Linked DNA regions of Xenopus tropicalis. The protein of the gene in region 1 interacts with the protein of each later gene in a pairwise test. Links are inferred from orthologs where the notes say so. Each region holds a gene or a part of one and is shown on either strand. Other genes may lie near its edges. The genes, in order: cda and plekhb2.

Region 1 (4,365 bases):
TCATCCCTCATTCTCACTGGGTTTATAGTTATGTGTAACTGTCACTGTGTCTGTCCCTTTCCCTTCCCTGCACTGCTGGTTCTGACTCCTGATACATCTCCCCAATATCCATTCATCCCTCATTCTCACTGGGTTTATAGTTATGTGTAACTGTCACTGTGCCTGTCCCTTTCCCTTCCCTGCACTGCTGGTTCTGACTCCTGATACATCTCCCCAATATCCATTCATTCCTCATTCTCACTGGGTTTATAGTTATGTGTAACTGTCACTGTGTCTGTCCCTTTCCCTTCCCTGCACTGCTGGTTCTGACTCCTGATACAACTCCCCAATATCCATTCATTCCTCATTCTCACTGGGTTTATAGTTATGTGTAACTGTCACTGTGTCTGTCCCTTTCCCTTCCCTGCACTGCTGGTTCTGACTCCTGATACAACTCCCCAATACCCATTCATTCCTCATTCTCACTGGGTTTATAGTTATGTGTAACTGTCACTGTGTCTGTCCCTTTCCCTTCCCTGCACTGCTGGTTCTGACTCCTGATACAACTCCCCAATACCCATTCATTCCTCATTCTCACTGGGTTTATAGTTATGTGTAACTGTCACTGTGTCTGTCCCTTTCCCTTCCCTGCACTGCTGGTTCTGACTCCTGATACATCTCCCCAATATCAATTCATTCCTCATTCTCACTGGGTTTATAGTTATGTGTAACTGTCACTGTGTCTGTCCCTTTCCCTTCCCTGCACTGCTGGTTCTGACTCCTGATACATCTCCCCAATATCCATTCATTCCTCATTCTCACTGGGTTTATAGTTATGTGTAACTGTCACTGTGTCTGTCCCTTTCCCTTCCCTGCACTGCTGGTTCTGACTCCTGATACATCTCCCCAATATCCATTCATCCCTCATTCTCACTGGGTTTATAGTTATGTGTAACTGTCACTGTGTCTGTCCCTTTCCCTTCCCTGCACTGCTGGTTCTGACTCCTGATACATCTCCCCAATATCCATTCATTCCTCATTCTCACTGGGTTTATAGTTATGTGTAACTGTCACTGTGCCTGTCCCTTTCCCTTCCCTGCACTGCTGGTTCTGACTCCTGATACATCTCCCCAATATCCATTCATTCCTCATTCTCACTGGGTTTATAGTTATGTGTAACTGTCACTGTGTCTGTCCCTTTCCCTTCCCTGCACTGCTGGTTCTGACTCCTGATACAACTCCCCAATACCCATTCATCCCTCATTCTCACTGGGTTTATAGTTATGTGTAACTGTCACTGTGTCTGTCCCTTTCCCTTCCCTGCACTGCTGGTTCTGACTCCTGATACAACTCCCCAATACCCATTCATTCCTCATTCTCACTGGGTTTATAGTTATGTGTAACTGTCACTGTGTCTGTCCCTTTCCCTTCCCTGCACTGCTGGTTCTGACTCCTGATACAACTCCCCAATATCCATTCATCCCTCATTCTCACTGGGTTTATAGTTATGTGTAACTGTCACTGTGTCTGTCCCTTTCCCTTCCCTGCACTGCTGGTTCTGACTCCTGATACAACTCCCCAATATCCATTCATCCCTCATTCTCACTGGGTTTATAGTTATGTGTAACTGTCACTGTGTCTGTCCCTTTCCCTTCCCTGCACTGCTGGTTCTGACTCCTGATACAACTCCCCAATATCCATTCATCCCTCATTCTCACTGGGTTTATAGTTATGTGTAACTGTCACTGTGTCTGTCCCTTTCCCTTCCCTGCACTGCTGGTTCTGACTCCTGATACAACTCCCCAATATCCATTCATTCCTCATTCTCACTGGGTTTATAGTTATGTGTAACTGTCACTGTGTCTGTCCCTTTCCCTTCCCTGCACTGCTGGTTCTGACTCCTGATACAACTCCCCAATATCCATTCATTCCTCATTCTCACTGGGTTTATAGTTATGTGTAACTGTCACTGTGTCTGTCCCTTTCCCTTCACACAATCATGTGAGTTCTTGCCTCCAACACCCGAGCAGCTGCTCCTGACATTGCCCCACAGCTGCTGCCAAACACAGTGCCCTACACAGCGCAGGCACGATGGGCACAGCTGGAAGGGTGGGAATGCTATATATATATATGTGCTTCCGTCCTTCAGCATTATTTGTGGGGGGGGGGGGCAAGGGGCATTTGGCTATTTTAAAGTGTAGAGAAGCCAAACTAATTAAAAGAAGGAAGACTCTTCATAAAAAAGTTACCTGGCTACTGGTCACAAGTGGTACTGCAGGAGAAAAAGCTACTGATGCTATTAACAGTCAGGTAAGTCTGATTTGATGAACTTACCCTTTAATCCATGGAATACATATCTGTAGGAGGGCAAAACTGCGGAGCTGGAGGATAAGATACTAAGCTAATGGGGCAGTGAGAGTTTGGGGTTAGTTTCAAAATACTGAATGAGCATTTCCAGGGCCAGAGAGGGATGAAGAGATATTTAACACAGTAGCTGAGGTTGAAAAAAGACACACATTCAATAAAGTCTAAAGTTTTGCACCAGTAATTCCCTTTGGCACATTAAATGAGGATTAATAGCAAGTAACATAGCAGCGGAAGTTAAAAAAAGACACTCAGCCAGTACAAAGCCAGAAGTAGGAGAGAGTTGGCAGAGAGAGAGCGGTACTTGCCCAGAATGACTTTCCCATCCGCGGTCAGGAGTGCGGCCCCCACTCGGAACTTGCTGTAGGGGCAGTGGGCTCGCTGCTTGGCTTCGTGGCTTTGGGCAACGAGTCTCTGGATGAGTTCAGTCTCTAGACTGGTTATACATCCGTTATCATGGCAGTTGCTATTCCCATCCATCCCTGGCACTCAGGAGTGGGGAAGCCTCTGTGGGTATCAGTGTGTCCCCTAAAGTCTCAGCAGTGGGTCTGTGGGGGTCAGTAGCTGCCAGTGAGGGCCAGTGAATAAACTTTAGTGATTGGGTGCATTAACCCCCTGGCTCCTTGGCTGTAGGTGTCTGTTGGCAGCTGTGTCCTGTAGTTGTGGGTGTGTGTATCCTGCAGCCTCCGTGCCTCACTATTTGTATGGTGCTGAATTCCTCAGGGTGGCTCCTCTCTGATTGGCCAGGCCTCAGCCCTCCTGCATTCCTCCTCTGTATCTTGTCTGTTTCACCCAGGGGCAGGGGTTTGTTCATGGGGAGGGAGGCAGGGAGGGTGAGTGACAGGTTGCAGTGCTGTGTGACCTCATTGGTGGAACAAAATGACTCCGGCTTCCTGCATGGCTGCCCGTCACTGCTGCTCTGACTCAGTACAGTCATCTCTCCGGCTACGTGCTGTCCTGTCACGTCACTCCGTGTGTATCCAGAGCCACCGCCAGAATGTCACCGTGCCCAGGCTGGAATATGGGCATTCCTGGAGAGCAATGGGAAGAGATGGGGGGGGAGAAATATATAAATAGAGAGAGAAGGGAGAATAAATAGAGAGAGGGGGAAAAAGAGAAAGAAAAAGATGAAAGAAAGAAAGAGAGAGGGGGGAAAAAAGAAAGAAATATATATATAGGGAGAGAGAGAGAGAGAGAGAGAGAGGGGCGGAAGAAATAGAGAGAGAGGGAAAAAGAAAAAGCAAGAAGATGAGGGGGGAAGCAATAGAGAGGGAGAAAAGAGAAAGAAAGAAAGAAAGAATAATAGAGAGAGAGAGAGAAAGACAAAGAAAGAGACAGAAATAGATTAAGAAGGAAAGTAAAAGAGAGAGAAAATTAGAGACAGACTGTGAGAGACAGGACTTTCCCCAGTCCCCATATACTGACCCCATATACTGGGGTTAGGGGGTCAGTATATGGGGACAGGGGAAAGTCCCCCCTTAAACCCCCCAATTCCCATATACTGACCCCCTAACCCCACCCCTTACACCCCCCCAATTCCCATATACTGACCCCCTAACCACACCCCTTAAACCCCCCCAATTCTCATATACTGACCCCCTAACCCCACCCCTTACACCCCCCCAATTCCCATATACTGACCCCCTAACCCTGCCCCTTACACCCCCCCAATTCCCATATACTGACCCCATAACCCCACCCCTTAAACCCCCCCAATTCCCATATACTGACCCCCTAACCCCACCCCTTACACCCCCCCAATTCCCATATACTGACCCCCTAACCACACCCCTTAAACCCCCCCAATTCCCATATACTGACCCCCTAACCCCACCCCTTAAACACCCCCAATTCCCATATACTGACCCCCCTAACCCCACCCCTTACACCAGGGGTGGGCAAACTACGGCCCGCGGGCCACATCCGGCCCCTTGGCCTTTTTAATCCGGCCCGCCGACGACGCCAAGTCTCATCACGCGAGACTTGGTGTCATTGGCGGGCCGGAATTAAAGAGACAAAGGG
Region 2 (3,824 bases), on another chromosome or scaffold:
GTGAGTACCTTGCGGAAATGTGGCTCTGCTAGTGCACTTTCAATGCAGCCCCCTCTGGACCTGCTCCAGTTAGTCTCAGAAATCTTTCTATGGGTACAGTTCCCCCTTACCTCCTTTAAAAAATGCAGTAATGCACAGTGGGGCAGTAATGCACAGTGGGGCAGTAATGCACAGTGTGCCGCTCTTGGCCCTTGGAGAGCACCTCAGTTGAAGCTGTTCCTGACCTGGCTCCATCTGGGCATGCTCTGTGCCACTGATTTAACAGTAAATCACACAGTTAGGGGCAAGATGGTCCCTGCCAACCCCTTTTTCCAAAAGGAGGAGCCCACAGAGAGACATTTTTGAGACTAACTTGGAGGGAGAGTTTAGTAATCCTTGAATGTGTGCCGGAAAGCAAAATATCATTTCTATTATTTAAACCATTTAAAACATATTAAATTAGTAATCAGTCAGGTCCCACACATAGCACTGGTAGGAAGAACTGTCACTGGATCATTCTCCTGCATCTCTAATTAAGTTTGGGTCACCTGGTTTGGAGAGCTGGGTGGCTGCAAAAGCAATTAAGGCATATCTCTTTGATGTGCATGTGGTGCCCGCTTGTCACTTAACCACCTTTCAACCAATTACTCCTGTAAATATCCATGCTGTGTAAAGATAATTGTTAAACAAACGATATACATTTATGTTCAACATGAGCCAGATAGATATCTGTTCTGCATGTTTTTAAAAATAAATTCTAATTGTATTTTTTTTAATTACTATAAAGCACTAATAGGCAATTGTGTTATCTTACTCTTAATACCTCCCTTTCCCTCCAATAAATTAAACAAATAATCTGTATATGATAAACCCCTCCCTTCCCTTTATTGCTACAGATAAGACAGAGGTCATTATATAGTGGCTTTAATGGTAAGGCTGTGAAACCATTTCTCCTCCAATTGCTCTGAAAAAAGCAAAAAGGTGGAATAAGGTGCAAACTAATTAGCAAAAGGGCTCATTCTGCTCCAGGGCATAAACACTGTGACCATAAATCTGCTCATTAGCAGTCAATACAATAAAGCCCAACTTGTAATTGTAAGGGATCCCTTTGTGCCTTGTGCTGCTTACAATTCCTCATATGTTTGCTTCTACCTTATTAATGACAAAAATAAGGGGCATTCAAGAGGACAATCATGTCCTGACCATGTGCCACTCTATATGGCACCCTTGAGCCTGGCAGAGCATTATATAATGTCAAGTGAATCACTCCATGTGCCATTGCCCTTAAGATAATATATCTTTATTGCTTACTCAAAAATTCTCTAAATCTCTCTCCAGGTTTGGGGCAATGGGTCACTGGATGTGTTGCTATACTTCTCTTAGGGACAACTGTAGCAATCAGAAATTCCTTTTTAGCCAGTAGTTGAGCCCAGGTCACTTGAAATGAACAATTCATGGCAGAACATCTGAGTGTGCGGGGAAATCTCACATGGTACATTTTTGTCTTTGTGCAGAAGGAGAGAAGGGTTTTTGATCTCCTAGAAATTGTTTGTCTTGGGCTTAAAATACAGTGGCTTTGACTTGCTAATGGGAGTGGCACGGCCAGAATTCTCAAGAGCATGGCCAGAAATGAATGACCCAGTATATAAAGACATCAGAACTTTTTACTCAGTTTATATGTTATCTTAAAAACCATGCACCAACAACGTGTGCCATTTACAGGGGAGAGTGCACAATGCAAAATCTGCCATGTTTTCTGCACCTTGTGCCTTGTCCTGAGCTTCAAAACATTGCCCTGGGTCTTTACACTACAAAACAAACCGCAGAGCCTGAATTTCCCCCATGAATACAGCACATCCTGCATTCAACATCACTGTATTCAAGTAAGAGTGGCATGGACTTCCACTTACCCATCCCCTAACTTGCATGTCATGGAACCCTGTACTTACAGCTTGCTCTATAGCAGGTGCTAAGGACCTTGTGCCCACTGGCACTGCACCCCACAACTAGCACAGGATATCCAGCGTTAGGCACAGAGGGCAGCCAGACCCTGAATGCAATTGCACTAAGGGATATACTTCTGCACCTCTTGCATTCAGGGTCAGAGTAAATGTCCCCTAAACTGTATGGTCTTTGAGTAGAAAACTCTTAAAAGCAACCAAAGTGTCAGTAGTATATCAGGTATAATATGAGCATACATAGAGCAATACACACTTATAAATAAATACTTAATCATTATTACTTATTGTTATACAATATAGAAGTTATGTGTGTTACTGTTCTATAAATATACGACTGTTTAGCTTTATGTTACACTTCTGTCAATTGCTCTGACTGTAGTTCTAAAAACTATTACCAGAAATATTACTTCTTTGGAAAAGCTGCGAGTGTTGAGGGAATCTAGTAAATAAATCCTGCAATCATTTTGTGGGAGCATTTAAAATCCCCAAAAGAGAGATCCGAGAGCCATTCCCGTAGCGGCTCCTGCAAGCATTCCCATCGCAAGGTCCCCATCATTGTCATAGTATCTCTCTCGGATGATGACGTGATTGGTCGGAGGTGCTCCATATCCTACAAAATTCAACAAATAAAACAATGGCATTGTTACAAATGTACTCAATTTTAGCTAAATAAAAAGAAAAAGACTTTAGAGCTCATTTATGAGGGGCCTATTTATTAGAAATTCATTGGGAAAATGGTGTAAAAAGCAGTGTAATATAAATGGCAAATTTATCAAGGTGTGTTTTATTTTACGCTGTCCGAATGCCAGATTTGACACCGTTATTTTATGTCCCTTCAGACATTGTCTAAGAAAAAAACAGTTTTAGGACTTTTGTAAAAACAGATCACATTTTAGTTTTTATGTATACAGAAATATTAGGAATTAAAAAGGATTCACACTTTTGAGCACCACTGTAGGCAGGCGCGGATTTGTGAGGCCACAAAGTCCCGGGCCTAGGGCGGCAAACATTCTGCTCCCATACGGAGCAGTGGGGACCTCTCCCCACTGCTGCGTATGAGTTTATATCGGCGCCCACGCAAATGCGCATGCGTGCGCTAGGGGGATGGGGGGTGAGTTGCGAATGCGCATGTGTGCGCTGGGGGGGGGTGAGTTGCGGGGGGCGCCTGGGCTGGCGGCCTCGGGGCGGATTTGAAATCCGGCACTGATTGTTGGTAGTGTCACAGTACACTTATGTCAGAATTGTATTTGTATTTATGTCAGAATTGTATTTATTCAGCAAAACTGAATAGAGGCCAAAATGTAGGGAATAAAGTTAATTACATCCTCAGATAACCTGGTGGAGCTGTGATACAGCTTTCTGCCCACTTTACCCTGTGGCAACCCTACATATTAAGTCAGGAAAGGAAATTCAGGGTTCTGTACTGCTGAAAACTTCCAAAACAAATGGCACACGAAAGGCCCCAGGCCCAAGAATAACATCCTTGTGGTGTTTATACATGGGAACAGTCCTTGTGAGTGTTCACCCCAAATCTCACCCTAATTAACATTTTCCTCAAAGCAGAATCTTATTGGACTTCAGCCTGGGCCATCCCCGGCCACTGCTCTTGGCTCCCTTGAGGGGGGAAGCATCACAGTTTTGGAAACACTAATGTAATGTATATTTTACCAAATATGATGAGGTAATGATGGGTAACTGTTTTTATGTATTTATTTCCTGTTATTTATATAGTGCCAACACATTTCCACAGCACTATACAGAGATAATACATCATTCACAACAGTCCCTGCCCCATAGGAGCTTACAATCTAAGTGCCCTATCATATTCACAGTTAAAAATCTAATGCAACATTGGCTTTTACCTTGTGGGGGATATGGGTAGGA

What was found.
Region 2: the proteins of cda (region 1) and plekhb2 interact in binary tests that used the Homo sapiens proteins (3 or more experiments, as listed by UniProt). The two-hybrid records come from large-scale screens. The link is inferred for Xenopus tropicalis from reciprocal best matches to the Homo sapiens genes CDA and PLEKHB2.

What each region holds. Positions count from the first base shown.
Region 1 is NC_030683.2:129,542,299-129,546,663, forward strand, and holds the start of cda (cytidine deaminase), read right to left. Parts: upstream 2,997-4,365; 5' UTR 2,824-2,996; coding exon 2,652-2,823; intron 1-2,651. UniProt on the Homo sapiens protein: This enzyme scavenges exogenous and endogenous cytidine and 2'-deoxycytidine for UMP synthesis.
Region 2 is NC_030681.2:126,767,867-126,771,690, forward strand, and holds part of plekhb2 (pleckstrin homology domain-containing family B member 2), read right to left. Parts: coding exon 3,803-3,824; intron 2,551-3,802; coding exon 2,417-2,550; 3' UTR 1-2,416. UniProt on the Homo sapiens protein: Involved in retrograde transport of recycling endosomes.